Linked DNA regions of Notamacropus eugenii. The protein of the gene in region 4 interacts with the protein of the main gene of each other region in a pairwise test. Links are inferred from orthologs where the notes say so. Each region holds a gene or a part of one and is shown on either strand. Other genes may lie near its edges.

Region 1 (7,832 bases), on a different chromosome or scaffold from region 4:
TTAATTAAAAAGAGAATCCTGGAAGAAATCCCAAGGAATAAGTATCAAAGGTGGATTTTCAGACACCCACCTGTGGAAGGTAGGTAGGGGAATTATTTTAGTTGTGGTATCCCCTTTGACTCAAACTACAGAAAGGATTTTCTATTGTGCCTATGCATGAGGGCATCCCTGTGCTCTGCCTTATCTGTACGGCCTGTGTTCCACGCTTGGAGACACACACACACACACACACACACACACACACACACACACACACACATACACACAAACGGATCATAGAATTTTGAGCTAGAAGGAATTTATAGAGTTATATAAGCACACACAGCCACACACACCCTCACATTCAAGTGTCCAAAGGATGGATTCTCCTCTGGGTACCAGAGGACATGAGGCAGAAATTTCAGGAGCCCCCAGTTCTCCCAGGGACCAGGTCAGACTTTGGGGAGGCCATTTCAACAAGATGTAAGCCAGCAAGTTGGGGGAGGGGGTCTCTAGTTTACACAAAGTGTTTTAAGGTTTGCAAAGCATTTTTCAGACATTGTTTCACCTGATCCTCACAACCATCCCATGAGGTAGGTGCTAGTATTATTATCATCCCCATTTTGCAGAGGAAGAAACTGAGGCAGATAGAGCAGAAGTGACATAGATAATAAGCACCTGGGTTAGGATTTGAACTCGTCTTCCTGACTGCAGATCTGGTGCTCTATCACCTAGCAGCAATTAAGCTGCCCTTAGTAGTGGGGCATCCTGAGAAGATTGTTTTGGGGGTAAGAGTCAGTGAGTCAGTCCACTATCCTTTATTAAGCCCCTACTATGTGCTGTTAGAAGGAGGGTCAGAGCTATTTTTTTCTTTTTCTCCCTCTCTAAAACCTGGGTTGAATAAAGCCTTCCCTGACCCAGTTGAGCAAATAGTTTCTCTGGTTCCAAGTACTAAACATCAGAATGACCCAATTCTAATTATTCCTCTTCTGGCACTTGGTGATAAGTGGGGCTGAGGGTAGAATAACTAGGGTCCCAAATTTCTGTGCATTGGGGATCACTTTGATTTCGATGTCAGATATTTAGAAGCAGTGAAGGTGCTGGCATACACCAAGCAGTCTTTTGAGAATAGGCAAAAGACTGGAGACTCAGATACATAGGACCTACTATCTCTGTGACTGGGTGAGCTGCCAGTGGGGTCCTCCCATAGGACCTGGGAGAGTCTAGAAGAGAAACAAAGGCCACACAATGATGAACCAGGGTTCAAAGGGTGGGGGGAAGGGCTGGCGGAATGATACAATAGAAAGACCCTGCATTCTAATCCCAGCTCTAATACTTGTGTGATATTGGCAAATAATTTCCCTGCTGAGAACCTCAGTTTCCTCATCAGAGATATTAATACTTGCTCTAACTGACAGAGTTGTGGGAAAACACTCTCTAAATGTTAAAGAAATGTGAGTTATTACTACTACTACCACCACCACCACCACCTAGATCTTCAAGTGACAAATTGTCTAAGAGCAACATAGTGGGATCTGTGTATTTTCCTCCCATGATTTTCTGCCTGGATGGTTTTTGCCCTTAGATTCCTCATTCCTTGAGTAGTCTCTTGTTACCAGATTGAAAATCATTTGCTATCCGTCGATATCTGATTTCTGAGGAGGGGGTTAGGGTAAGAGATAAAGGATAAGAGCCCGTCCCCTTTCTAATATGTAAGGAAACAGAAGCGTAGTCTGATTCAAGTAGAATCTTAGAGACTAGAATCCCATAAGTCATCCAATCCAAACTCTTTTTATAAATGCAGGGTCTTGCAGGGTCCGGTCAACTAGGGGATACTCAGAACTTCTCCTCCATGACTCTGAAAGGAAATTCGGAAGTGACCCTTAAAAGGTGAGGAAGTTCTGAGTTCGATCTTTCTCATAGAAACATCTCATCCCTTCCTCCTCCCCAAACAGATGCACACTTTCTGTACACATACATCCACCACTGCTGGGAAGAAAGAGCGTGAGTCTGAGCCCCATTTAGTTGGGAAGGAAAGGGGACCCCAGAAATCTACCCCCTCGACCCCGCCCCGTAACCATCAAGTCTACACTGAATGAACCAAACCACCTGGACTCAGCATTCCCCAATCACCCCCTTAAACGCGACCCCATCTAAACAGATCCCCAAAGCTGGGGCTGTAGAGGGGAGGTGTTCAAGGTGCGGAACCAGGTCCTAGGAGAAGAAGGGAGACTGGGGGTGGGGGGTCAGAGAGTCCTACTAGGAGGAGGAACTCTGGAGAGGGACTGGGCTAGGGAGAGTATTGAGGAAAGCGGCAGGATTTAGGGAAGGGACTGTCCCAGTGAGGATGTCTGGGTGCAGGGAAGGGCTGCAGATTCAGAGAAGTCTAGGACTGGGGAAACGCTCGGGGCTCTGTCTTGGGAGAGGAGGAGAGGGTGGTGGTGGGATGGGGGTGGAGAGGCAGGAAAATGGGATGGGGTGGGAAATGAGGATCCCTCGGGATGCGAAAGGGAGCAGGATCTGATTTACGGAGAAAAGGGAGGGGAGAGAGTCCCTGGGAGAAGGAGAAGCTTTCATGGGGATCCCTAAGGATGGGAGACCGGGAAGCAGGGGGCTAGGGATGGCTGAGAAGGGGGAACTAAGATCGTGCGGAGATCAGAGATGCTGAGACCGTAGGGGAGACAGTGTAGGGATGGGGAGAGGTGGAGGAGAGGAAGAAAGCTTTGGGGAGGGGGTGCGAGGAGGAGGGGGCAGAAGTCCGGGCCGGGGAGGGGCTCCGGACAGGGTCCGGTGCTACTCACGTCCAGGATGACCGAGGTGCCCCTCCGGGGCGGGGACGGGGCCGTCGGCGGGGTGGGACAGAGCCCGTGGCCAGTCCCGGCCCCCGGCCCGTCGGCCAGCGGCTCCCGGGGTTCGCCCATCCTGGCTCCCACCCAGCGGAGCAGCCCCCCCAGCGCCCGGCCCTGCGGCGGCGGCTCCCGGAGCAGTCTGTGCGCGCCGGCCCTGCAGAGGCGCGCCGCCCGCTCACACATCGCTCGCGCAGCGCCCGCCTCCCGCCTCCCGCCTCCCTCCCGCCGGAGCCGCCGCCACCACCGCCGGCCCGACCCCCGCCCCCGGCTCCAGCGCCCGCTCGCCCACGCGTGGCCACCTCTCCCAGCCCGCTCCGGGCGGCGCCGGCGCTGCAGACCCCGCCCCCCCGGACACCGCGTGGGATGCGGGACTCGGGACGCGGGACCCAGGCTGGGGGGCGGACAGGACCACATCGCCCGGCAGGGGGGCGCTGGAGCCGGGCCTGAGCCTCCATCCCCGTCCATCTTGGGACCCCAACTCCCCAGGACCCCTAACGTCCTCCCTCCCTTCCTCTTATTTCTGGGGATGATGAGGGTGCGGTAGGGATAGGGGCTGCTTCCAGAGGGGATAACTGGGGGACGTATTAGGGCATCTGGAATCCGTGAAGTCGCCGGTCCGGGCTGAGCCTGAACTGAGAGAGGAAGGGTGGGCTGCGCTGGCCAGGGCCTCTGGGACTCAGCATCTAGGAAGGGATGGAGTCCAGCCTAGGAGAGCCCCTGAGGCCTCCAGCACATCGATTCTTCCCAGCATCTTTCGCTGTCTCTGGTCCTTCGGCTTGCAGGGACAGGCGAGTAAAGAAGAGTTTCCCTAAGTCAGGCACTCCCTCTGCCGGCAAAAGCCACAGAACTCTCTTTCACAGGACTCTTGGGGCTCCTGGAGCATCCTTCCCTCACACCCTTCCCAGGGACCTGAGCATTGCCTCTAACATCCCGTCACATCCAGTTCCCCCAGACTTTGATTCCCTCTCTCTCTCTCTCATTCAATAAAATTTAAGTCAACAAACATCTGCTTTTTACGAAAAGAAAAAAAAAAGTCTGTCCTCAAGGAGCTTATATTCTGAGGAAATACAGCATGGATAAATAAAGGTTAATACAAGATGCATACAAACTAATTTCAAGAGTGAGAATGCTAATAAGGGGGAAACAGATATGATTTCATGTAGCAGGCGACACCTGAAAGGGGCACTGGTGAAGGAGGACAGTATTCTAGACTTGAGACAGCACTTGGGGAAAGGGATGGAGGTAGGAGAGGGTTGTATGTGGGGAACAGCTAGTTTGATTGGGCCTAGGATTGTGAGAGTAAAATGGAAGACAGACTGGAAATGGTTGAGAGCCATGTTGTCATGGGTCTCAAATTCTAGGTTGGGAGCCACTGAGGATTTTTGAGGAGGCAGATGACAGGGTCAGATTTGTGTTTTAGGAATATCGTCATCCATGGGATAGCTTCGGGGACGAGGGATTGGAAAGGGGAGAGGTTGTTTTCCCTTGTTTTCGAAGAGGATCGTGACATTAGGAAGATAAAGCCATGACATGTAACTGAAGTGGATTTAAATGAGGCAGGGCTGTGCAAGGTCACTAGCCTCATGTTCTCCTCTAGAGCCATCTGGATCCAGTGGCAAGATATAGATCAGGACAACTAGAGATGGCCCCACCAAGAAGGGAGAGACTAGAAGCAAGAGGGCCAAACAGAAGGATGTTGCAGGTGGTAAGGTCTTGAGCTGGGGTTGAAGCTGAGTGAATAGAGGGTCCAAGATGTTCTGGAGGTAAACTGACATAATCTGGCAAATGATAGGGGAGAGGGGGAGGGACAGGGAAGAGTCACGGAATGTTATGAGCCTACCCCTTCTCTCCCTCCCCCCACATCTTGTCAGTTTCCCACTTGCCCATTCACAGGCTCCATCCTTAGGACTCCAGCCTTTTACTCAGACATGGTCAGAGATTTGGACAACACAGCCTCAACTTGAGGTGGTTGGATCGCCACACAAGGACAAGCTGGAACATCACAAAGACAAACTCTTCAAGAACATATTTTGGCAGCCTTTTGGTTTATTCAAGATGTAATTCTGGGGAAGAGCTGAGGCCCCTAACTTCCTAGGGCTGAGTTCTACCATCAGTGTTGCTCATTGGCCCAGGTTTTGGGGCCTTGGGAGCCTGAAGTTCCAGAAGCCTGGAAATCTCCAGTTTGGGTTCAGGAAATTTTGAGCTGGTCAGCACTAAATAAACTTCTCAGACCCTGGTTCAGCCAGACCCACAAACTGTACTTTTCCCAGGGCATGGGTCAGACCTTTGGGCAGCCTTGACATTTTGGTCTATTAACAAGGAACTGGTCTTTAGAATCACCGCCCTTCCCATTTCCCCCGTTTATATACATACACAGTCTCCCTACAGGGAGACATCTCTTTAGGGGAGGCCCATGTTGGGGTCCAGGCTCATGTCTGAGTCCCAGTCACTATACCAGGCAGGACTGAGCAGGTCTCCTTCCTTGTCTGAGCTGGGGCTGTGAGGTTGGGGGCATGGAGGGTGGGCAGGGGTAGTCCTAGGGGGGCTTCCTATTTTCTTTTAGCAGGGAGCTAGCTACAGCCAATGCCCCTCCCTGCACAAATCTCACAAAGTTGTCTCCCACCAGGGGCCCCATGGCATAGAGGCGCCTCTGCCGGGTGCTCTGGTAGGTGAAGGGGTCAACCTCAATGGGGTTCCTCTTGGGGCTGAGTGGTTGGTCTGGGTCCACAGTGAGGTCAGTGCCACCATGGGCCAGGAATGAGAGGTCAGGGTAGGAGCCGATGAGGACCAGCACAAGGGAGACCCTGAATACCCTGTGTTCCCCGTTCTGATCATGGAACACAGCCTCATGGTCCTCCTGGAAGAGCAGGGGCTGATGTTTTGGCAGGCTCAAGTAGCCTTTGTAGCGAGTGGAGGAGCGGACAGATTTCTCCCGCATCATCTGGTGTACTTTTTGGTACTCTGGGTACATTGTCTTGGGGAGTTGGTTGAAGATGAGACCAGGGTCATCCACAGGCCGGCGGAATGCATGGATCACTGGGAGGTTGTAGCGTCGTGCATACAGGATGGCATCAGCTGCTGAGAGCCCGGCCCCAACGATGAGCACGGGGTCAGATGTGGGGGTTACATCCCCAGCCTTCATGGCCTCTTCTAAGGCAGACAGGTCATAATGAACGTAGGGGAGATCCTCTCCAACAATGCCCAGCCGGGCTGGGTTGTCTGATGTCCCTGTGGCCAGGACTACATTGCGCGCACGGAATCTGAAAGGCTGCTGGCTCCCATCTGTGGAGGTCATAAAGCCACTCACCACGAACAGGGGGCTCCCATCTTGCTGGCTCCTGGTCTCTCCTGACTCCGTGCTCCCAATGTCCACAGCTGTGACCACAGTTCCACAGAAGAAGTTGTGGCTCAGTCCCTTCTTCACCACATAATCCTGGTAATAATGGGCGATGTCTCCAGCTGTGGCCCGGCTGTCCCGCAGTCCCCTGTATGAGGAAACGCAGAGGTCAGTCTCAGGGATCTGAACTAGGTAGGCACATGAAACCTTGTACCCTTCAGAAAATACAGAAAAGCCTGGCCTACAACTTCCTACTATGTCTAGTTACTCATCTGTTATAATTGCTTTTCCAAAGGGACCGGTCCATTAGCTTCTTTGAGGACAAGAGTGCTGGAGTCCAGAAAACCTGAGTTCAAATGCTGCCTCAGGACTTGTATCTGTGTCAGGGACATTTACTATCTGTATGACCCTGGGTGAGACACAACCTCTCTCTGTCTCAGTTTCCTCATCTGTAAAATGGAGGTAATAATAGTACCTACCTACTTCCTGGGCTTATTGTGAAGATAAGGTGAAATAATATTTGTAAAAGTACTTTGCAAACCTTAAAGCTCTATACAAATATATTTTATAAATATTATGTAATATAATATAAATATATTTTCCATATAAAGCTTTTGTTGTTCAATCATGTTTAACACTTTGTGACCCCATCTGGGGTTTTCTTGGCAAAGATACTGGAGTGATTTACCATTTTCTAGTTCATTTTCCAGATAATGAAACTGAGGCAGACAAAGTTAAGTGACTTGGCCAGAGTTATACAGCTAGTAAATGTCTGAGGCTGGATTTGAATTCAAGTCTTCTCGACTCCAAGTCCAGCACTCTAGTCACCTAGCTGCCCCAATATAAATGGGCTATTAACTATAGTCCATCCAGATTGGGGTATGTGATGAGAATTTCCATCCATTCCCTTCTCCTTGAGGGGATAGAGATTATAACAGGAGAGTGTTGGAAGGGGAAATAGCCAAGGGCAAAAAATGGGGGTGGGGCAAAGGTTGAAGGGGAGGACACTCTAGACAGAGTTTAGGTAAGGGTAAAGAATGAAAGGTTGGGGCCCCATAAGTTGTGTTGGCCAACATAACCTAGGGCTTGAACTCTGAGCAAACTCAGACTACAAGTTTTGAGTAATTTTTGTAAACTACATTTTTGTAAGCTTATTCTTCTGTTGTGGGGCTGGGAGGTGTGTGGGTGGCTATGTTTTAAGGATCATGGAATGCCAGTACTGGAAGGGATTTGAGCACTCATTTAGTCCAGTCTCTTCACTTTAGAGATGAAGGAGTAGACCCATGACCTGAGTCTCCAGGCTCTTTCCCATAAATCACTTGTCCCCTTAGCTCTTTAGTAAAATGTCCTTTTTGCAGTCTTGCTAAAGCATGCCCCTCCTGCCTCTCACTGGGGAGGGGACATGCACTTGCCAGATTGGCCAACATGCTGATCTGCTTTTCCTTAACTGACCTTCTTTGTTAGAAGGCAGGGTTCTACTTTTGTGGAGGAGTGATCACTGGAGAGTGACAACAATGAAAAAAATAAAGAGCATGCAAAAAAAATTTGACTTCATCTCAGGATCTATGAGGAGACTGTAAGTAGAAAGGAATCAGAACCACATATTTAGAAATGGAAGGCTATGAGTCCCACTGCTTTATTTTATACATAAGGAAAGGGGGGCATAG
Region 2 (7,854 bases), on a different chromosome or scaffold from region 4:
TTTTTAATGAGCTTTGTCACAGTAACAGTATGAAGGGACAGCTAGTTCCTAATTTATCAGTGATGATAGATAATGAAAACTATTAACCTTACTGGTAAACATTTATTGAGCCCCTACTGTGTGTAATACTGTCCTTGGCATCAAGAGGGAAATAATCAGAAAATCTTATCTGTAATTCATTCAGATACAGACATCAACTTGGTACTGACTCTAAAATGTCAATAATGATGACTTTATTTCAGCTTTTTCTGTGCTGGAGGACAATAACTGGCTATTGATGTCTACAGTAGATACAAAAATGATATGAAAGGTGACATACCATATTGTATTTAGGTAAGAAGGATTTGGGGATTTATCATTTGGAGCAAAAGACCAGAATATATCTCTGGATATATTTCTTCATTTCTGTGGGATAATTTAGGTGTGAATCTCAAGCAGAAAATGGACTAGATACTTTCTCACTATTGTTTATAAAACCTTAATCCCTACAGTGACTCATCATAAAAGGGAAGAATAGCAGCTATGAGAATTTTTGCTATACCTACATTTACTCAACTGAGGGATTCTGGAATCCTTCAAGTCAAGGATAAACCTTACTTAGGGTACAAAATTGAATTATCCTGTGGAAAAAGGAAATTTTCAGTATGTATGTTCTACCTACACTACCCACTATTACAATTCTGATAAACATTGATTTTATTTTAATATGCTGGATAAAGGTATTTTTTTATCACAATTTGTAGCATTTTAAGAATTGTAATATTTGAAACCACATCAAGTTAAAAAAGGACATTTTAAAATTTATGGACCGTCTTAAGTTCATTGCATTCAATTCTGGCAATGGATATAAAGAGATTTTAAATTTAATGTATTTAAACCAAGTAAAGTACTTCACTTTTTAATCAGTGTTTGAATTCAGCTATAACTCCCATGATCCAAGGTAAAAAATCACACAAATCAAAGTGATTTATACAGAGTGCCCCCAGGAGTATATAGTAAATTGATCAATTATCTGGGGAGTCTAGACGGTTGCCCAGACTCCGTCCGTTGGTCAGATGTCACAAGCACCACAGTTTCTGGCTTTTCAGTGGTGAATCTTCGTCACTGCAACAAGAACACAAAAGTAACCTGAATCCCTTATTACTATGTGGAATCTACCTCACAGTTGTTGTTATGGAGAAATAATACTTGAGTTTAAGCTTTGAATTTATGTGCAAGTAATTTGCTCTTTCAAATAAAAGCAGCCTATCTCAAATGTTTGTTCTGCTATTACTTCTGTAATGGATGTGCTCAGAAATTTTTAAGACAGGCGTGGAATGGTACCATGAAATGGTATTCGATGTAACTGTTGTTCCTGCTTCATTTATTACTAATGTGTATTAAGCATCCCATTGTACCTATAATTTACTATATTAATTTTTGCCATGTGCCAAAAAAAATTGAAAAATGAGTGTGGTATCTCTTACTAATTGGTTCTACATTCATAGGCTTTTATATTTTATTTGCTCCCCCTTTGAAAACTACAGGCCTCCTGACTCTAAGTCATGTGTAAGTTTTGAAGAAAAATAAGCCAACTTTCATGCTTAGCCATGGCTCCAAACTCAAATGTGTGAAAGCTTAAGTGCTTTTTCATTTCTTATTTGTATTTGTCATATTTGTCACAACTAATAAAACTAGCAGACTGGACAATTAGCATATAACACCATGATTTTCTTACACAGGACTTTTTGCCTTTGCCCATTTAACTTGTGCTTTTTCTTCCTTGTCTAGGAAAATGAATTTCCCTTTTGACTCTGTTTATTCATGTTTAACTTTTAAATTTTCTCAGAATTTTCTGAAAACTATCTGCTCTGAATGTTCGCTGTTCTTATTTGCATGTATCTTTTTGCTCCCTAGAATACTACGTAAGTAGGTACTTTAAGTCCTTTATGATATTTAGTCATAATCAGATTGCCTTTTCAAGAAAAGTCTAATTATTACATTTCTTGCCTTTGGTTCCTTTTTTGTGATCAGAATTGAGCCTTTTTCCCAAACAGGTCAACAAAGCATATATTCTTCGACTAACACCATCCTTATACCTTGGTCTACCACAAAGGCAGAGCCAGGACAGAATAATATGTCTCTCTGGGGAATACTCAATATTAATTAATAAGCACCACCCTCCCACTCTAGTGATGATGTTTTAGCTTACAAACTGTTCTACAGATAAGATTGAATCTTTTAAAAATGAAATTGAAAAAAAGAGAACCAGTAATTACTTGAAAGCAACATGACATCTGATATCTTAAATTATTTTTACTTTTAAAAACAAGTATTTAAAAATGCCCTTTTATATCCATACTAAAATAAGAATTCTTTGTCCAAGCACTAATTTTCTATATGACTGATTAATTAGCTGGCTCTGATCAATAAGAACAGCTCAGTTTTATATCATTATAGTTAATAAACCAAATTAGCATTTCCACCCAATGTTGCACTTTCTATAAAAATAGAACTCTTAAAAATGTCAGAAAGAGCTAATGCTTCTGATCTGATTTGGGAATATGCCATGTCAACTAGTTCTTTTTATTTGTTTTTAGTTTAAAACATTCACTTTTATAAGATTTTGAGTCCTAAATTCTCCCCCTCCCTTACCCTCAACTAGTTCTTTTTAAGAAACTATTTTGTAAGGCCTGTAAAACTAGTATTACCATTCCCTACCCCCTTCATAAATCCTTATCATATATCATAAAAACTCACTTGCATGTCATGGTATTACCTCCCTGACAGGTGGGCAACACAGGTTATTTGCTTTCCTCTTCCTCTCCTTTCCTTCCTTCCTTTTCTTTATTCTCCCTCCACATAGGGTATCATACACTTACCTGCCAGTGCTCTGCCCAAAGGGAATGTAAGTTTTACTCTCTGAAGCTTTGTTTTTTTTTCTCTTAATAAAAGAGCATCCTTAACTCCAAATCACTGTAGTCCTAGACCAAACCTTACTTGGTCTCAGTTTGGGCCCTGATTGGCTCAAAATGAATGAAAATAACAATCGTTTCTGTTTTGGTGAAAAACCTTGAGGGTCTTCCCGTCTCAGATCCTTTTTTTTTTTTTTTTTAAAGAGGCCATTCTTTGCCTCATTTTTTATTAAGTTTTAATCACTGAATGCACGATGCTCAAGTCAAATTGAGACCTATTAAACTTAGCTTGAAAAGGCCAAAGACCCCCACTGCATCCTGGGCCATCTCCAGTTGTGCTGATCCATATCTGGCCACTGGACCCTGATGCCTCTGGAGGAGGAATTGAGGCTGGTGACTTTGCACAGCCCTCCCTCACTTAAATCCATTTCACTTGCACATCATGGCGTCTCCTCCTTGATGTCATGGTCCTCTTGGAGAACAAGGACAAACAGCAGGTAGCATAAATTCTAAATCAGCTACATAGCATTTCAAGGTTTTTAAAGTTGTTTACATAACATTATTTCATTTATCTTCAAAATTCTGTGAGATAGAAGCTATTTTTATCTAATTTTACAGAAGAGAAAAATGAGAATGTGGGGGTTAGAGGGAAGGGAGAAGTAAAAAATAATACTGTGGTTTACAGCCTAAAACACCAAGAAATGGAGACCATTAACAGAAAGAGGCAAGTCAGGTTTTAAGCAAGAGGCCAATGATGATGATAGCTCACATTTTTAGAGTGCTTTATTTAACAAAGCACTTTCTTTATAACAATCTTGTTGTGAATTACTAGCCCCACCCCCATTTTACAGAGGATACAACAGAGATGTAAGGAGCATAACTTGCTCAGAATCACTGGGACAGAAAAGTGGCAGTGGCAGAACTCAGATCCAGATCTTTCAGCTTCAAGGCCAGTAACCAAATTATCACACCAGGCTGCCAGACAAATCACCTTCCCCCAGCATAGAATACTCAGAAGTGAGTGTAAGTCATTGTATTTGAAATGGGAAGACACTAGGGTATAGGTCAGAGGTTTTTAATCTTTTTGGTATCATGAACCCCTTTTGGCAATCTGGTGAAGTCTATGGACCCCTTAGCAGAATAATGTTTTTAAATACGTAAACCATATAAGATCACAAAGGAAATCCAATGATATTTAAAAATAAATTCATAGACCCCAAGTTAAGGGTCCCTATGTATTATAATAGTACAGGTGGGTGATAACTATGTCCTAATCTTAGGTTTTGTCATTCATATTCATTGGTTTGCCACGTCTTCTCCTTTAACCCTCCATAAAATCTATGCCCCTCTTTCCACACAGTCACCACCCTAATTCAGCCCTTTGTAACTCCCTATTTCCAGCCATTCCTATCTGCCATCTCTCCTTCATTTCCCACTTGGCTGCTGTCCTGAATGATCTCCAGAAACTCATCGTTCTGCAAGAAGAATTCAACTCTGAAACTCACACTTCCCCATAACCCTGTGGCTCCGGTATGCCTCCCCATGGAGAGGATGGAGGACAGACCCTGGAGAGCTCCTTCATCTTTGAAGAAGGGCATCCAGGGAATTCACCTCATTGTTTCCCAACGGTGCTCTCCAGTACTTCCTGACCTCCAGAAACTCATCATTCTGCAAAATGAATTCCACTCTGCAACTCACATCTCCTGAGATCATTTCCCATTCCCCACCCCCCCCTCCCCCATTAGACTGAGTTTCTTGAGGGAAGCAAACTGTTCCATGCCTTTCTTTGAATTCCCATTGCTAAGCAGTGTCGAGCACATTGTTGGCCTTAATAAATGTTTAGTGACTATTGACACAGCTGCCAGAATCCCTCCTGCCTCTAAGATAAAATATAAACTCTTCCGCCTTATCTTTCCAGCCTTATTTTGTTACTCCTTTCCTGAGCTCCACATTCGTATTAAACAGGGCTGCAGTTCCTGGAACCTCTCCTCCAATCTGGGCATTCAAAGACATAAACCCATGCCTGAGTTCACTCCCATCATATCTCCACATCTAAGAATCCCTTCTTCCAAGGCTTAACTAAATGTGCCCCTTGAGTGAAGCCTTGCACTTCCATAATTGTATTTGTTAATGTTCTCCTCAAATTACCTTTGTGACTGACTTCTCTGTGAACGCTGACACATCCATCAGTATAACAGGTAAGTCTTTTAAGGGAAAGTCATTTTTGACTCTCCAAAAATTAGCCCAGTACCTTTCACAGAGAAGAAGCTTCATAGATACTTGGTGAATTCGTTTGGTTAAGGGTTAGAATGCTGCTTAGAACCACTTTTGAAAGATCCTTCCATTTACTCTACATTCAGAGAAATGGTTTATCTCCCCTTCCTAAATATTACTTCCTTTCCCTTATGTTAATTTTTTAATACTTCAGAAGGGCCATCATTTCCTCCCTCTGGGTACTTCAGTCTACCAATGCATATAACAGCCCTTCCAAAACTTAGCACTGTCTTGGGCTGCAATAGCACCAATCCCCTTCCAATCACATGCTAGGTATTGGAGTTTATTCTAAATCTTTCCAATTTAGCAGGCCCAGCCAAAAACTGTGCTCCATTGGTATGCTATTAAAAACCCTAGGGTTACTTCCACATAATGAATGATGAGGCTTTAGAGTAAAATTTCCAAGAGAAATGTTAACATTCTCTAAGGCTAATGTTCTCTAATATTAGCATTCTCTTTTTGGGGGGGGGGGAAGGGAGGCAAGCAATTGGGGTCAAGTGACTTGCCCAGGGTCACACTGCTGGTAAGTGTCTGAGGCTCTGGATTTGAACTCAGGTCCTCCTGACACCAAGGCCAGTGCTCTATCCACTGAGCCACCTAGCTGCTCCTTAAATTGTAATCTCAGCTTTTCCTCCTGTGACTGGTACGAAGCCCTGCACACAAAAAGTGTTTAATAAATATTTTGAAATATATATGAGGCAGTACATCATTAAGAAGTGGGATAAAGTCATATGCCCTCTGTAAAGTCTGAGGATTAGCAAATTTCAAGTAAGAGTTTTTAAGGAGGTGTATAAACTTTTTAAAAACATGTTTGGATAAGTATTTCAAAATAATTGGTTTTTTTGGTAATACTATGCATTTTATTAATTTAAAAACACTTTTTTGAGAAGTCCAGTTAGGCAACTAGGTAGCACAGTGAAAACTGGATGTGGAGCCAGGAAGATGTGAGTTCAAGTCAGACCTTGGACACCAGCTGTGTGACCCTGAACAAGTCACTTAATGTCTGCCTCAGTTCCCTTATTTGCAAAATGGGGAACACAAAGAGTTCATAAACATTTATTAAAACCTACTCTTTGTGAATTATCGAATTACTAATTACCTAAGACTTTAGTAATTTATTGAGAATACAAAGAAAAGTAAAAGACTGTGAAATATTAAAACAACCTATGTTCAAACAAGTTACATACAGAATAAATTGTAAATAATAGAGAGGAGGGCACTAGAATTAAAGAGGATGGGAGAAAGCTTCCTACAGAAGGATCTTTGGTGGGACTTGGAGGAAGCCAGGAGAGAGAGCATTCCAGGCACGGAGGACAGCCAACGAAAATATGCAGTTATCTTCTCCAACGGACAGCAGCAATATGAAAATACTCTGCGTGACTGAACACGTTTAATCTATACATACATACACTGCTTGCCTTCTGAAGGAAGGGGGGGGTGAGGAAGGGAGGGATGGAATTTGGAACTCAAAAATTATAAAAAAGAATGCTAACGTTTTTACGTGCAACAGAGAAAAAAATCCAACATTCTATTTTTAAAAAAAAGCAACAAGGAGGAGGTCAAGTAAGAAGACTGAAAAAATGGGGTAGGGGCCAGGGAGAGGAATGTCATAAAGAGCTTTCAATTCCAAGTTGAGGATTTTGTATCTAATCCTGGAGATGATGAAGAGCTGGAGGGGTGTCTGTGTGGGACATACACCTGCTTGGTTTCTGTTTTAAATCTAGTTAGATTTAATAGCACCCACCGACCCCTCGGGGTTGCTGTGAGGATGAAGTTAGATGTTGGCCAAGTACTTTGCAAATTCTTAATTATTATTATTTCACCAGAGTACTAAAAGGGCCCATGACATAAAAAATAATTAGGAACCACTGTTCTAAAAAAGGCACCTACAGAGCTTGGTTCAAATTATTAGTCGCCTCCCTCTTCCCCGCCCCCCAGAAGCGGAGCTATCGCCGATGAATCGATCCGCGATATTGTGAGCAGCAGTTTCGGCCCGCCCCTCCTCGAGAGGCAGGACTCGGGGCGAGACCTCTAAGCACCTTCCAGCCCTGTCTTTACAGAATTCTTCTAGGAAAACCTTGCCCAAAGGCCGATCAAGGCATTCCCTATCCTTCATAAGGTGAGGGCCGAGCGCTTGCTACACCTCTATCGATTTCAAGGACTCCAAGCGCTGCCTCTCCCAAGAAAACAGGGCTTGTAGGCGGGGCTTGTGATTTCTCCGCCCCCTGCGCCCGCCTCGCTCCGCCCCTCGTGACTTTCAATCCCCCGCCCGCTCCCACGACGGGCCCCTCCCCTCAAGCCAAGCCTCAACCCGGCCTTCCAGAAATAAACTCGGGCTTCGCCGCCGCGAACTTCGCAGGCTCCGCCCCATTCCGCCAACTCCGTAGGCTCCGCCCCATTCCCCCATGGCCTCCCAGGGGGAGGGAAGGGCCGGTCGAATCAGCTCTGCGCGAAGGTGTCGGGACTCCGCCTGTTGCCCGCATCCAACTGAACGTTACCTCGGGTCGACAAGCCAATCAGAGCCGACGCCCGCAGCTCCTCGCGAGAGGTGAGGTTGAAGCTGCCTCCGCCATCTTGGAGATGGGAGCAGACGGGCGATGGCTGCGATCCTGCTAATGCAAACAACAATACAGGCGTATTAAAAGCGTCCTGGAGTGAGCCGAACTTTCTCCGCTTCGGTCGGCTG
Region 3 (7,682 bases), on a different chromosome or scaffold from region 4:
GTTATGCACTCAGTGCAGCCTCTCAGACTGAAATGCAATAGAGTATGGATCGATTCTCTCCTACTTTTTCTAATTTTGACCTCCTGACACTTAATACCAATAATATATAGGTTCCTCACCAGCTAACACTATACTATCTCTTTGTGGAACTGTTAGTTATAACAAATGGAGAAATTTTGAATGATAAGTTCACTTACCTTGGCAGTTTACTTTCCACGGGTCCACGTAGATTATGAGGTTGACACATGCAATGCCAGAGCTAGCTCAGTGTTTAGGAGGCTCTAAAAGAAAGTGTGGGAGAGAAGAGGTATTAGACTGCTTACCAAACTGAATATCTACAGAACCATTGTGCTGATCTCATTAATGCATCCCTGTGAAACCTGGACAGTATACCAGCATCATGCCAGGAAAATGAATTACTTCCATTTGAATTGTCTTAGGAATATTATGAGCATCACCTGGCAGGATAAGGTACAGGACATTGAGATCCTTTCTCAAAGTGAACTGTCAAGCATTCAAACTACTGCAGAGAAGGCAGCTCTCATGGGCTGACCACATTTTTCAAATGCCAAGCGTATTTTTGCCTAAAAGACCATTTTACAGAGAACCCACAAGGCAAGCACTGACATGGAGGTCAGAAATGTTGATACAAGGATACTCTCAATGTCTCTCTGAAGAACTTTGGAATTGATTGTGAGACATGGGTGTCACTGGCATAGGACTGTTTAGTGTGGCATGCCCACATCAAAGAAGGCACTGAGCTTTGTGATCAAAGCAGAATTGCAATAGCTCAAAAAAACTTGAGTTGTGCAAATTTAGAGCTGTCTTCATCTGAAATGTTCACAACTATTTGTACCTGACCTGTGGTAGACCTTTCCCAAATTGTATTAGTCTTATCAACCACAGTTGGACACATTATACTTTGACCCTAGCACAGTAATGCCATTTTGGTCCTCTTCAACCAGGAGGGACAACAACAAACCAACCTGCTTTCTGAAGATTAGCCTGTTGAAATGCAAAGGTTCATTACTAGTAGATTGACTATTTGGTGATGAATTATTTGGCAGTGAATGAAACAAATAAAAATACAAAGTTATTCTCAGTCTTTTATGATGCCCTTTTTTTCTCTAGTGAGTAACATTGTCAAAGTGTCAGAAAAGGGAATATTCCACAAGGCTTTGTCCTGCAGCATCTTCTTTCTATTTTGCTTGGTGAGCGTATCAACTCCCTTAGATTCAGTTATCTTTTTGCAGATAATTTTTATATCTGTTTACCCAGCTCTAACCTTTCTCTTGACCTTCAGGCTTGTATCTTGAACTATTGGACATCTCGAAACATATGATCTGTAGAAATCTTAAATTCACCCTGTCCAAAACTGAATTTTTTTTGTTTGCTTTTTTTTTCCAAACTCTTTTCTTCCTCACTTTCCCACTTATTACCACCCAGGCTTGAAAGATGGGTGTTTTCTTTGACTCCTTGCTCCTTCTCTCACTTCCATATCAAATCTGTTGCCTAGTCTTGTCATTTACACTTTCATTTTTTTGATTGCCCCAGGTACCAGCCCTCATCTTCTCATTCCTAGACTATTACAGCAGATTGTTGGTTGGTCTCCCTGACTCAAACCTTGCCCTCCTCTAGTGTGTTCTCCACTCAGATGTCAAAATGATTTTCCTAAAGTGCATATCTAATCATGTTACCCTTCCATCCTCCCATTCACTAAACTCCATTCTTTCCCCATTACCTTCAGAATCAAATATAAAATCCTGAGTTTGGCTTTTAAAGCCCTTCATACTTTATAACCTGTTCCCCACCTATCTTTTTAGTCTTCTTATACTTTATTCCCCATCACATACTTTTTAAAACTGATCTCCTCAATATTCTTTGCACAGGACCCTCAGTCTTCCTGGTTATGAGTGTTTTCAATGACTGTCTTCAAATGCCTGGAACTCTTTCTCTCCTCATCTCCACCTCCTAGTTTCCTTTGCTTGTATCAATTCCCAGCTAAAGTCTTGCTTTTAAAAAGAAGCCTTTCAAAGAATTGAACATTAAGGGGATGCCCATCAATTGACTGAGCAATTTGTGGTATGTGAATATAATGGAATATTGTTGTTCTTTTAAGAAATGATGAGCAAGTAGATCTCAGAAAAACCTGGAAAGATTTACATAAACTGATGGCTGAATGAGAAGAGAAAACCAGGAGAATATTGTACTCAATAATAGCAATATTATGCAGTCATGAATAATGATAGACTTAGCTCTTCTCAGCAATACAATGATCCAGGACAATTCCCAAGGGCTCCTGGTGCAGGATTCTGTCCACATCCAGAGAGGGGTGTATATAATCTCAATATAGCTTGAAACATACTATTCCAACTTTTTTTTTTCTTGTGGTTTTTCCATTCTAATTCTTCTTTCATGGCCTGGCTAATGTGGAACTGTGTTTAACATGATTGTACATGTGTAACCTGTATCAGATTGCTTACTGTCTTGGGCAGGAGGGAGAAAGGAAAGGGAGGGAGAAAAATTTGAAACTCAAAGTCTTGCAAAGATGAATGTTGGAAGCTGTCTTTACATGTAATTGGAAAAAAATGAAATGTTAAATACAAAAAAAATAAAAATAAAAAGAAGCCTTTCCATTCCTCCTCAGTGAGAGAACCTTCCCTCTAAAATTATCTCCAAATTATTCTGTAAATATCTTGTTTGCACTTAGTTCTTTACAGATTGTTTCCTCAAATAGAATTAAAATTTCTTGAGAGCTTAATAAATGCTTGTTGACTTTACAGAAAGTTCTGCAAATCACACAGTTTTCAGATAGTTTTTAAGCATTAATTTATGTAAATGTTGATACTTTATATCTTCTTTTCTAATGACTGGAAAGTAGATCTATTATTAAAGGAACCAAGTTGCATCAATCTTAATATTATTATATTAAATCTGAATCTGTCAATTAAAAAAACATTTATTCAGTATCTACTGTGTGCCATGTACTCTGCTGGGTGGTAGAATTAATCAAAATGAAATTAAAGTTAAATGAAAGAATTCTTCAGGCTGTTCTTGGAGAATCAGATAAAGCAGGTGGTGGAGTTGAGTGTGTTATTCATCCAAAGGCAGTGAGAAACATTCTTTCCTGGGACATTTGGTCATCTTGTACTACGTTGGCAGTGAACGTTTATTAAGCACTGTTGTGAGCAGAAACAAAGAGAAAACCAGACCCAGCATTCAAGTAGCTTATTTTCTAATGGAGGAAGACAACACAATGAAAGAACCTGAAAAGTGGTAGAGGAGAAGATATCCACATTTGAGCACAGTGCCCAGGTCCAGAGTCAGAAATATAGCCAGGAGGGGAATAAAGTATGACTGACCTCAGCCTATACCCAATGTAGGGAGCCACAGAAGGAACTCACCAATGGGAAAAGAAGATGTAAAGTTGTTTGAGATTGAGAAGGTGAAGGAGTCCTTGTGGTAAACTCTGGAAAGTTAGAAGCATAGTGACAAATATTTGTCAAAAGGCCACCCGCAGGTTATGTGTCATATCATTTGCAGAGAATGAAAAGGTAGAGAAATTTTGCAAAGATTTGATAAGGTACTCCACATTAAATTAATATGTATATACTTGGATGCTCAGTGATTGTTTTAAATAAATTTTATTTATTCAGTCAGCAAAAATCTGTCTTCTCCTTGCTCTTCCTACGTATCTCCCAATTGAGAAGGAAAGAAACATAAAATTACAAACATATTACATTACAAGCAAAACAAATTTCCATATTTCATGTTATATCTATCTATCTGCTTTTCTGTCCATCCATTCATCTGTTATGTATGTCTTTCTATCTGTCTGTTCATCCACCTAGCATTTTACCTTTCTTTCAGGAGATAAGTAGCATGTTTTATCATAAATCCTCTGGTTTTATGGTTGGTCAGTATTCTGATCAAAACTCATCTAATACTTAAAAATTGTTTATCTTTGCAATATTATTACATAAATTGTCCTCCCTTTTTTGCTCACTTTACTCTGCATCATTTTACACAATTCTTCCCAGATTTCTCTGCAACTATGTCAGTCATAATTTCTTATAGCACAATAGGATCCTGTCACATCTGTATACCTTAACTTATTGAACTATTCCTTAATTGATGGGTACCCTCTCAGATTCCAATTTTTTGCCACTTCAAAAAGAGCCAGAACTTTTGTATTGGTTTTTCTTAGGACTGTTCCTTTCCTTAATCTACTCTCCCTCTAATCTCTCTTCTTCCCTTTCCCTCCTATTTTCCTGGGAGGAAAAAGTGAGGCCAAAGACTTTGCACAGCCTTCCCTCCCTTAAATCTTATTCACTTGCTTGTCATGGCATCACCTTCCTCTTTGAGAACATGGTCCTCTTTGAGAACAAAGGGCAAACAGCATCAATCTATTTTACAGAATGAAGGTATTTCTACACCTAACTGTACATGTTCTTTCCTTCTGTGACCAGTTCAGATGAAGATGAGTTCACTTTTGACACTAACACATTCAAGTGTCACCTACTCTGCCCACTTTCCTTTCATTAGTTTAGACTTCTGCTTGCTCATTTTTATTGAAATAATTTTACCTAACCTTTATTTTTCTTCCCTCTCTAGTGTATTCTTCCTTTATATTTTCATTCTTCTCAAGATTATCAAGACAATAACAGGACCACTCCCAGGCCTTCTGTCTAATTATGACTCCCTCTGTGACCTGATCATGATAGACTTCAGAGGGGATGTGTGTGTCATCTCCCCATATTAGAATGTAAGCTGTTTAATTCTTATTTAGTCTTTTATGATTGTTCATGTTTATCTCTCACAAGTTTCATAAAGGACTATAAGACTTTCCAGTTTGATAAGATGTGGAAGATGCATTTAATGACCTGAAGAATCAGTTAATCACAGCACCTATATTGATATAATTGTACCCACAGAAGCAGTTCATAACTGCTTATGAAGCATTCATCTTTATTGTTGTGGCCTGTGAAAAGATGACCCTGTCAGATTTGTTTCATATCCGTGCATTGCTCCCTTAGAAGAAGGAGCTCCTCAGACCAGTACTTAACATTTGGAGGCATAATTTTGGGGTTTTCTTGCTTTTTTAAAAAAATAATAATTCATTTTTTCCTAATACATATAAAAAGAATTTTGAACATTCATTTTTTTAAAAATTTGAGTTCCATATTCTCCTTCTTTCCTCTCCCCTCCCTGTAAGGTGGTAAGCAATTTGATATAAGTTATATATAAAGGAGAAAAATAAGAGTTTGTAAGCTGTATGCCATTGAACTTGACTTTTTTTCCTAGCATAATTCTAGAAGATATTATTAATTTAATTCAATAAGTATTTATTAAGGGCATGCCATGTGACAGGTAGCATAATAGGCACAAAGGAGTCAAGAACAAAAAAAAGAGACAATCTGATTTCACAGAGCTTATATTTTACTTGGGTACACAGTCAGCACACAGGTTGTGTTTGTCCTTCGTTTTCGAAGAGGACCAAGAATCAGAGAAATGATGACATGACTAGCACTTGACTTTGTTTTTAGTGAGGGAGGGCTGTGCAAGGTCACCAACCTCACTTTCTTCTCCTGAGCCATCTGGATCCAGTGACCAGATATGCATCAGGATGACTGGAGATGGCCCAGGATGCAATGGGAGACCTTGGCCTCTTTGACCTTGGGCCTATTCAGGTACTCATTTAGGCCCATATAGTGAATAGGCCTGTTTAAGTAGTCAGGGAGTGGACCCTTTAATGAGCAAAAGAAAAATAACTAAATCAAGTTGAAAGGGAAGGGAAACAGTTACAAAAATACACAAATAAGTAAATATAAGATGCATGTGACACAAAAGTAAATTAAATTTGAGTGAGCAACACACTAAGAACTAGGAGATTCAGAAAAAGCGTCTTGAAATATTAACTAACTATAAAAGGAAAATGCTATCAATAATTAAGAAAGCTTTAGCTCAAGAGAATATATCTGTTATACAACATGGAATCTGTATTTGATTCAGGAGTTAGTTTTTAAGAACTGTATGAGCTTTCTGCCTGAATTGGTGTCGCAGAACTATTACTAAGGAATAGCAGTTTCTGTTTATCCTTCGTCCTTAAAGAGGATCAATGGCATCAGAGAAATTGATGTCCTCTTGCACATGAACTGCATCTGAGTGAGGCAGAGCTGCACCAAAGTTGTCAGCTTCACGTCTTCAGTCATTGAAGTCCAGTGGCAAGGCAAAGGTCAAGACAACTGGCTGCCCAAGAATCTTGTAGTGGGTGACCTTGGCCTTTCTAAGTTAAGATCTTTCCCAGGTCTCAGTTTGTCTGAGGTCACGCCCATTCAATGGCTAAGGACTAGGTAAGAGTTGGACAAAAGATGGCACACCTATGGAATAAGTGGTATCTGTCTGATCTCTACCTTAAAAAAACACTGGAAAAGGCCAAACAAAAATTTTAAATAAATTTTAAACACATTCCGAAGTAGTTAAAATGATAGTTTGTACAATCATGACCAGGATTTCTGTATGTATATTTACAGTACCAACAACCTTAGAACTCAGTGAACATCTAGACAAAGATGCAGAGTTCAGTTAGCATTATAGAGAACCAATCAAGGTGTACACTGGAAGTATGGAATCCTAGCTCCCTTGACAGCTACTCGAAGATTAGAGAAGTGCCAGACCTAGTAGTGATCAGAAATTGAAGGAGAAAACACAGTAGGTTCTCCAACAACATCACAGATTCAAACCACAGGCAACTTGACTAGGAGAGGAAACCTGAAACCTAGTCCCTTAGAGCAGAAGAGGGGACTGCCTTCCTGATCAGATAAGAACAACCAGTGTCAAATAAGGTTACCAAAGTCCTGCTGCAAGTGGCCAGAGCCAAGCTTTAAGAAAAAGTTCCAATGTGGAATTTTCAGGTAAGGTGGAAGAATGAGTGAACAAAATCCGAAAAAGAACCATGATGATGTCCCAGGGATGCCCAAGATATGAGCTGAAAAGAAGAAAATATTTCCAAATGATCTACAAGTAAAGTCTCCAAGTAAAACAGTATCTTGGCTACACAACCAATTAGAATTCCAAGAAGAAAAAGTTTAAGAGGTGGTTTTTGTTGTTGTTGTTTTTTTAAAGGGAAAGGTTAAACTTTCATTATAAATTTAAAAAACACTAACAGAAAGAACTGGAAAAGAAATGAGAGCTATGGAAGAGATTTGGAAAGAGAATTTATAGCTTAGCTCAAGAGGTATAGAAGTTTATCCAAGTAACAGACAGATTCATTGAAAATTAAGATAAATCATACAGAAATTAGACTACATAAGTAAACTAAAACAAAACCAAGTTTAAAAAATACCAGAAAATATAAGGCATTTTAAATTAAAAAACTCAACTGTAAAATAGGAGAAGGTAGAGATAATTTGGAATTCATTGGATTACATGAAAATCATGACCAAAATCAATCTATTTCAAGAGAGAATGAAAGAACTCTGTATCGGCAGAGTTAAAAATAGAATCCATTGAACATCTGAAAGAAACCCCCAGATGAAAATTACCAGGCATGTTACAACCAAATCAGAACTTATGAATCACAGAAAAAAATATTCCTAGCATCTAGGAAGAAAGAATTGAAATAACAAAGGAGAAGACTATATAGAACATAGTATCCCAAAAGACAAAAGATATATATGTGT
Region 4 (7,933 bases):
TAGACTGGAGTCAGATAAAGAGATTTAGGAGTCATTTGTGTACCTGGCACATAGTAAATGTATAAAAATGCTTTGTCTGCTCTATAGAGATATTTTCACTTTATTTCAGCTAACGCTTAAGTGAACAGGCACAGGTAATTTTGATCACAAAATTTGATCATAGTCAGGATATAGTCTTGGGGTACACTAGGGATGTACTGGAGCCAGCCCCAACTATTCTTGGGACTGTTAGATTTTCAATGTAAGGATTTATACCTTGGAAAATGGCAAATGCTACTAATGAGAGCTTGATTTACTTTTTTGCTGATTATTTAGATTTAAGATATGAAGAAAACTTAATTATGAAGATTAAGCTTAAAAGCATGTGGAAGAGCTGATTGTTAAACATTTACCAGCATACTACTGGGGTATAACTACAGTTAAGTAGTGTGATTATGGATTATAAACCAGCAAAGGAGTCAGAGAAGTAGGAGAAGCAAGAGAACAAACTGTCTGAAAACCTAAAGAAGAGAGACTATCCAGGAGGAGAGGGTGGTCAGTAGTAGTAGTAAAAGCAGCAGAGAGGTCTGGGCTGAAAAGTGAGAAAAGGATAACTAAACAATAGATGTAAACAAACAAATAAAAATGCTATGTTTGACACTTTTCCCTTATCAGATGTCCTCTAAGATCCTATGCAGGTGCAAAATTCTGAGAAGTCTACTGAGATGGAAAGGAAAATGAATGAACATCATTGTTTGGGTTCCCTCTCCCTCTCATGGCCTATGCGCCTCCATGCCTGAGTCACCAGTTAATGATCATTTATTAAGTGTCATCTATGTGTTAGACTATGTGCTAAGCACTAGGTATACAAAGGCAAAAACATTAGACACTTCCAAGGAACTCAATCTAATGGGAAGACAACAGGAAGGCTTTAGGGGGAATTGGGAAAAGCTTCTTGCAGAAGGTGGGATTTTCAGTTGAAACCTGAAGGAAGCTGAGGAAGCCAGGAGGGCAGAGGTGAGGGAGAAAATTATAGGCAAGGGGGAGAGTCAATGAAAAGATGAGTAGAGATATGGAGTGTCTTGGTCAAGGAACAGCAAGAAGACCAGAATCCTTGGATGGTAGAGTATGTGGAAGACAGTAAAATATTAAAAGACTGCAAAGGTAGGAAGGGGTCAGGTTATGAAAGGCTTTAAAAGCTGAATAGGATTTATATTTGATCCTGGAGATAAAAGACCCACTGAAGTTTACTAAATGCACAATTACATGATGAGATCTGAACTTTAGGAAGAACAGTTTGACACCTCTGGTGGAGGACGGACTGACCTGGGGAGTGACTTGGTTACACAATAGACAAGGATGAGGTGATAAGGGTCTGTACCAGGAGGGTAGTAGTGTCAAGAGGAAAAAAGGGAACATACAGAAGTTTCTACAAAGATGGAATCCACAGGACCTGCCAACTGACTGGAAATAGTGGGATGAGAAAGAATGAAGAGAGTACAGTATGACTCTTAGGTTCCTGACAGTAATAGAAAAGTTAGGGTTTTAGAGGAAAGCTAACAAGTTCTGGTTTGGATATAATGACTTTGAGGAGTCTATGGGATATACCAACCAAGATGTCTAATAGTCAGTTGGAGATGGATAAAAAACTCTATAAGAATCATATGTATGATAAGAGACTATAATTGAATCAACAGAGACTGATGAGATCACCAAATAAAGTAATAGAGAAGAATAAGACAGAACAGTTCAGGGTTTTTGGGCACACTCACAAATAGATGGCTTCACCTGGATGAATGTCCAGCAAAGGAGACAGCAAAAGAACTGTCAGGCAGAAAAGAACCAGGACAGGGGTGGGAAACCTGCGGCGTCGAAGCCACATGTGACCCTCTAGGTCCTCAAGTGCAGCCCTTTGACTGAATCCAAACTTCACAGAATAAATCCCTTTAATAAAAAGATCTGCTCTGTAAAACTTGGACTGAGTCAAAACGCCACACCCAAGGACCTAGAAGCCTAGAAGCCGCAGGTTCCCCAACCCTGAACCAGGACATAATCAAGACAGTAGTGTCACAAAACCCCATAGAAAATAGAGTATTAGGAAGAAGAGGGAGGTCGACCCAGTGTCAAAAGCTGTAGAGATTTGCAAAGTAAGAAATAACTGGTACCTTGGAGGGATCAGGGCCCGTAGAATGATGAGATCAGAAGGCAGATTGCAAAGAATTGAATGAGAGGAAGGTTAATTGGAAGTTAGCACCTATTGTAAACAGACTGCTCAAATTCTGCAGAAGAGAGGGAGTCAGATATAGTCGGATGGAGGGGGGGATGGAAGGCTCAAGTGGGGGTTTTTTGAGGATAAGGGAGACGCGTGCATGTTTGTAGGCAGTAAGAAAGCAGCTAGTATACAGGGAGAGGTGGAAGATTAGCGAGTGTGCTTTCAAGGTAACTAACCCACAAGTTTCCCTGAAGCTCCGCCTTCAGTTTCTCGGCTCCTCCCCCTCCCCTATTTCCCGCAGGACCCTTTCGACCCCCTCACTAACCCAGCCGCGTGGTGGGCTTTCTCGGCGCTGTCTGGTCACCCGAGCCATGTTCAGCTTCTAGCTCCTCCTGCTGCTCTCGCGCCTGCTGTAGGATCCGCCGGGTCAGCCGGGGCCCCACGTACTCTTCTTCTTCCTCCGTCCCGCGGCCTCGGTCCCTCCGTTTCTCCCGGCTTCCGGGCCGTACGGAGTCCCCTGCCAGGATCTGGTCCGCCAGAGGGGCATGCTTTGCCTGCCCTCCGGCCTTACGGGACGACTTGATCTTGGGCATGGTCTCCACCACCCCTTCCTCTGAAACACACGTGGGGAACTGGCAGGAATATGGACTGCGCCGGCGCCAAGCAGCGCGTCATTCTCTGCACCTCCCAGATTTAGAAGACAAGCTCCATTGGCGGAACACAGCGCCTCCCAGCGATCGGAGGCCGGAAACTCAGCTTCCGGTGCCCCCCCTACCGGCCCCGCCCCCTGAAGTTAGACGTCACCAGGCCCCTCCCGGGGCCCCCGCCGTACGACGGCTCGCGTTATGTGAATTGGACTCGTAGTTGCCCACTGTAGCTGTAGCCCTGGTTTGGATTTGTTCTGTCTTCCAGAGATGAGTATTTAGGTCGCGAGTCAATTCCTAGAAACCTCCCGCCTTACTCTAGGGTGGGGAAAGTGGGCGGAGCTCCTAGTCGGGGTGATCGCCCAAGTCCTGGCAACTCCGCGGCTGGTGCTCTCTTTGAGACGCTTTATTTATACGTCACTTCCGAGGCCCGACTTAATGCATCACTTCCGGATTCCTCTTTTTCCTCCTCCCCTCCCCCTTCTCTCTCCCCTACAGTCTTTCCGTCCACCTCCCACCAAGGCCTGGAAGTGGGGCTTCCTGCGGGAGAGCGGAGGGAGAGGCGAGGCCGCGGCGTCGGATTCCTCCAACGTACACACTCCCGTGCGACCTGGAAGCATGGGGGTGACATGGTAGGGCCGCGAATGTTGCACGTGGAGGGGGGAGGTCTCAGAGTTCCTTGGGCACCCGGGCCGGACCGCGAGGGAGTACGGAGAAGGCGCTGCGTCCCCGCAGAGGCCTCCTCCCGACCCTTCTCCTTTCCCGGTCTTGTTGGGATGAGTGGGTGGGGGCGGGATGCCTGGGCTCGGGTGTGAGTCAGGCCCTTCCATCTACCAGCTCTCAACCCGTCCCCGCTTTGGGGGCGCTGCAGGCCTGGTGGGGGTGTGGGTGTGTTGGGGGGAAGTTTACGCTTGGGTTTTGTAGGTTTTTTTTTTTAATTGTAGGTTTTTAGAGATTCTGGGAGACTTTAAGGCAGTTCCCTGTTCTTAGGGGAAGGCGAAGGGCGGGAGGAAGCCCTGGAGGTCACTGAGTGGCAGGCTTCAGCTTCTCCTCTTCCTTCGCCCGACCTCCAGCCCGAGACACCCCGCAGTAGAGCTGGACCAGGGGGACGGGATCTCCTGCCTGACCAGAGTTTGATCACCATCCTCCCGGGATGGCGGGAGGGAGCATTATCCCTGGCACTGAAAGGGGGAGAAAGGAGCCAGCTTCTGAAGGCTGTTGGGCCCGGCTTGGAAAACCCATCATGTTGAAGAGGGAGAAGGAGAAACAGTGCCCTGGTGGTCTGCTTTTCACATCTGGGGCTGAGGGGTCATTGTCAACCCTATCTTTCCTTTGTATCCCTCTAGCGCTTAGCACAGTAACTCACACGTAGTGCTTAGTAAATGCTTCTTGACCGAAGAAGGTATCAGATAAGGGCACAACTTTTTGGTGCCACATCTGAGAGCTTGTGAAGACCTTTCCTTTCTAGAGTTATTTTTGGCACTTGCAAGTTACTGACTGCCAGCTAGTAGTCCCCAGAGTTCAATCAGTAATCTCTTTCTGAGACTTGGCATGGTGAGGGGAAAGGTGTATGACAGCAAAGGGAACTAGGTAAAAAGCAGAAAACGAGAAACATCTGCTGCATTGGGAGAATGATATGCTTAGTGTGATCCCTAGGATATCCTTATCTTTCTTTTTCTGGAGAATTCTCATTTGGGCCAAAGCCACACACAGACTGCCTGTAGTGTTTTGCTTCTCGCATATGAGCAGTGGCATCTCCCAGCAGGGATGGGACTCTGGCTGGGATGGGATCTGGGGCTACCAGCTTCCTTTGCTGAATGAGAAGCTGGGGGAGCCTGTTCACATCTATGTGGACCCTGAAGGCTCATCACTACCCTTCTAGTGTGTCCCAGATGCCTGTGGCTGAGGGTAAGAGTGTCCAGCAGACCGTGGAGATCCTGACCAGGAAGTTGGAACTGCTAGGGGCAGAGAAGCAGGGGACATTCTGCGTGGACTGTGAGACCTACCACACAGCGGCCTCTACCATGGGCAGCCAAGGTCAGTGTGTGGTAAGTAGGACAGCTGGAACCTTGCTCAGACTTAGTAGATTCTCCAGATGCTAATGTCCTTAGACATCTTTCTGGCTGAGACAGTTTTCTGCTCAAGGCTATTCATTAGTATTTCTGAACTCCTGACGCTCAGTTGTAAGAGTTTTGGTGTTTTTTTTCAGTCTAAAGGTTGAGAACCAAGAGGAAATCTTTCTACACTTTTTGTTTGTTTGTTTCCTGTCTTGGAACTCCCTATACTATCACTCTGGCCACTTCCTTTGCCATTCACTGAGGCTCAATATACTGTCCACTCTGTGGGAAGGAAACTCTGTACCAATGGTTTGAATTAAAATGCAAAAGTAGAAATGATGAAAAGACCCACACACTAGGAATAGGGGGTGTGGGACCTTAAATTGTAGTCCTTTCTGTACTACTTACTTGCTTTGTGAGCTTAGACAAATCTTTTGTCTGTTCCATCAGCTGTATATTGGGAATTACAGTTTAAAAGGTTGTTTTGGAGATAAAATGAGATATGAAAGTGCTTTGAAAAGTGTTAAGTGGTATACACATGTAAAAGGATATTTAGAAAAGATAATCTTCACAATTGAACTAGAGAGGCAAAACCTAGATACTTACTTAAAATATTTTTAAAGCTTATTTTTTTATCTCTTTTTATATTGCCTTCATTTTGAATTATAACCTTACCCACTCTCCTCTGCCCAGCAAGCTATCTCTTGTGAAAAAAAGAAAATTTTTAAGAATGTTGGAGGGAAACAGTTCAGCAAAAGAACTGTCACTAATCGTTTTATATAGTCCATGCCCACAGTCTCCTACTTATACATAGAGGAGAGGAAGCTATGTTTGGGGGCCAAGCTTGGTTACTGTAATTTACATAGCATTTAGTTTCATGTTTTTTATTTTCGTCTTGGTCTTTTTGTTTACATTGTTAACTTTGTGTATATTTTGCCTATTTGTCTGAGGATGAGAGGGAAGTGAAAATGAATTCCTAGTTCTCTCTATCAGTTCCAACTCTTTCCATGCTTCTCTGAATTCTTGATATTTCTCATTTCTTAGAGTGTAATAATCTGTTACATTCATGTACCCTAGTTTGTCCATTGGTGTCTGTTTTCTTATTCTTTGCTATTCCAAAAAATTCTGTTATGAATATTTTAGGGTATAATATGAGACTTTCCATTTTGGACCTCCTTGTGGTATAGGCTTATCTGTAGGGTCTCTTGACCAAGAGGTATGGACATTTTTTAGCACCCACACCTTTTTTGCATAATTCTCAATTGTTTTCCAGAAATTGAGTAACTCACAGTTCTGCCAATATAGTATTAGTATCCAGGTCTTTCTGAAGCCCCTCCAACATTGATCTTTCCCATCTTTTGGCATCTTGACCTATTTGCTGGGTATGAGGTGGATTCTTAGAGTTGTTTTCATTTGCATTTCTCTTATTATTTGAAGTAATCTTTCTTGTGGTTAATAGTTTGCTATTCTTTTGAAGTCTGTTCTCATTTTTAAACCACTTAATCTATTGGGGAATAGTTTTGGGGAGTGGCTATATATCTTTGTTCCCTATATAGATCTTGGATATCAGACCTCTATCCAGAGATATTAAATGTGGCATTTCTCTCCAATTAATGATTCACCTTCTTGTTTCAGTTACTTTGATTTTGTTCATGTAAAGGCTTTTACATTTTATGTAATTGAAAGTGACAATTTCATCTTTTGTAATTGTTTGTATCTGTTGCTTGATTGGGAATTTTCTTAAGCCTTGACTATGAAGATACCTGATTTCATTGTTGTCTAATTTTTTTAATGAACATTTTAAAGGAAAAACCATGGCAAATATAACCAGTAATATAACCTACCGAGCTCTGGTAGTCTTCCCAAACTAGAAAGGCTTTGACTACTCATCTGGTGGTAGATAGCATGTCTTTCATACCCATTCCAGTCTAGCTCATATCAGAGAGGATCTGTCACTAGAAGGTGGATAACCACAGGATGAACTTTGGGAAGGAATCCAAACCTATGACTTCATTAATGTGGAGAGCACCCACTGCTGATACAGATTAGTCACCTGTCTGTAATTTGTAGTCTTCAACAGTTGCCTGGGACCTTGTAAGTGACTTGTCCATGGTAACTCATGTAGTGTGTCCGAGTTAGAACTTGAAGTAAGACTTCCTAGACTTGAGAGCTGGCTGCTATCCGCTAAAACATAATGCCTTTTCTCTTCTCTTTTCTATTTTCGTCTCCCAAAATCATAAATTTAAGATTTGGAAAGGACTTCAGTGGCCCATAGAATCTAACGATGCATGAAAGGAATCTCTACTATACACACCTCACAAATGGTTGTTTAACCTCAGCTTGACAACATGTGAGGGAGGGAAATCTACCACTTCTTGAGATAACCTGTACCACTTCAAGGATAACTCTAATTGTGAGGGAGTTTTTCCTGATATTAAGTCTTAATTTTTCTCTTTACAACTTGCATCCTTTGTTCTTGATTCTGCCTTTGGGACCAAACAGAATAAATTTCAGTCCCACTTACACATGAGAGCCCTTCAGGCCTCTTAAATGTAGTTACCTTGTTCCCCCTGAGCCTTCTCTTTCCTGAGCTAAACATGCTCAATTTCTTCAACTGATCTTTACGTAACATGAACTTAGGGACCCTTCACCTTCCTGGTTGCCTTGCTCTGGAGCTTTTATGTTTATCAATGTCCTTCTCAGACTTTGGCACCCGTAACCAAATGCGGTGTTCTAGATGAGGGTTGATGAGGAGAGACCCCAGTTGAACTATAACCCTGTTCCCATCTCTCCATTCCTAGGATCTACATCTCTCAATACATCCAAAGAAGATAATTTTTTTTGACTGCCAAGTCACACTTTGACATTGAGTTTGCAGTTCGCCTAAATCCTTAGATCTTGCTATCCTCTTCCCCTCAAAAAAACCCAACAATTTTTATTAGCATGTTGCCTGTGGGATTTCCTCCTTCCCTACAAAACAGTAAATAGCAAAGGTGTCATGTTGGGTCATGAACTATACAAACTGTACATATGTGATGCCC

What was found.
Region 1: the proteins of BYSL (region 4) and NECAB2 interact in binary tests that used the Homo sapiens proteins (3 or more experiments, as listed by UniProt). The two-hybrid records come from large-scale screens. The link is inferred for Notamacropus eugenii from reciprocal best matches to the Homo sapiens genes BYSL and NECAB2.
Region 2: the proteins of BYSL (region 4) and THAP1 interact in binary tests that used the Homo sapiens proteins (3 or more experiments, as listed by UniProt). The two-hybrid records come from large-scale screens. The link is inferred for Notamacropus eugenii from reciprocal best matches to the Homo sapiens genes BYSL and THAP1.
Region 3: the proteins of BYSL (region 4) and HMBOX1 interact in binary tests that used the Homo sapiens proteins (3 or more experiments, as listed by UniProt). The two-hybrid records come from large-scale screens. The link is inferred for Notamacropus eugenii from reciprocal best matches to the Homo sapiens genes BYSL and HMBOX1.

Annotation. Positions count from the first base shown.
Region 1 is NC_092872.1:697,729,905-697,737,736, reverse strand, and holds the start of NECAB2 (N-terminal EF-hand calcium-binding protein 2), read right to left. Parts: upstream 3,012-7,832; coding exon 2,781-3,011; intron 1-2,780. Other genes in the region: OSGIN1 (oxidative stress-induced growth inhibitor 1), read right to left, coding at 5,365-6,313. UniProt on the Homo sapiens protein: May act as a signaling scaffold protein that senses intracellular calcium.
Region 2 is NC_092872.1:617,706,156-617,714,009, forward strand, and holds the start of THAP1 (THAP domain-containing protein 1), read left to right. Parts: upstream 1-4,843; 5' UTR 4,844-7,854. UniProt on the Homo sapiens protein: DNA-binding transcription regulator that regulates endothelial cell proliferation and G1/S cell-cycle progression.
Region 3 is NC_092872.1:608,575,762-608,583,443, forward strand, and holds the start of HMBOX1 (homeobox-containing protein 1), read left to right. Parts: upstream 1-4,664; 5' UTR 4,665-4,736; coding exon 4,737-4,765; intron 4,766-7,682. UniProt on the Homo sapiens protein: Binds directly to 5'-TTAGGG-3' repeats in telomeric DNA. Associates with the telomerase complex at sites of active telomere processing and positively regulates telomere elongation.
Region 4 is NC_092873.1:102,944,848-102,952,780, reverse strand, and holds the start of BYSL (bystin), read right to left. Parts: upstream 3,012-7,933; 5' UTR 2,785-3,011; coding exon 2,517-2,784; intron 1-2,516. Other genes in the region: MED20 (mediator of RNA polymerase II transcription subunit 20), read left to right, coding at 3,274-3,467, 4,718-4,872. UniProt on the Homo sapiens protein: Required for processing of 20S pre-rRNA precursor and biogenesis of 40S ribosomal subunits. May be required for trophinin-dependent regulation of cell adhesion during implantation of human embryos.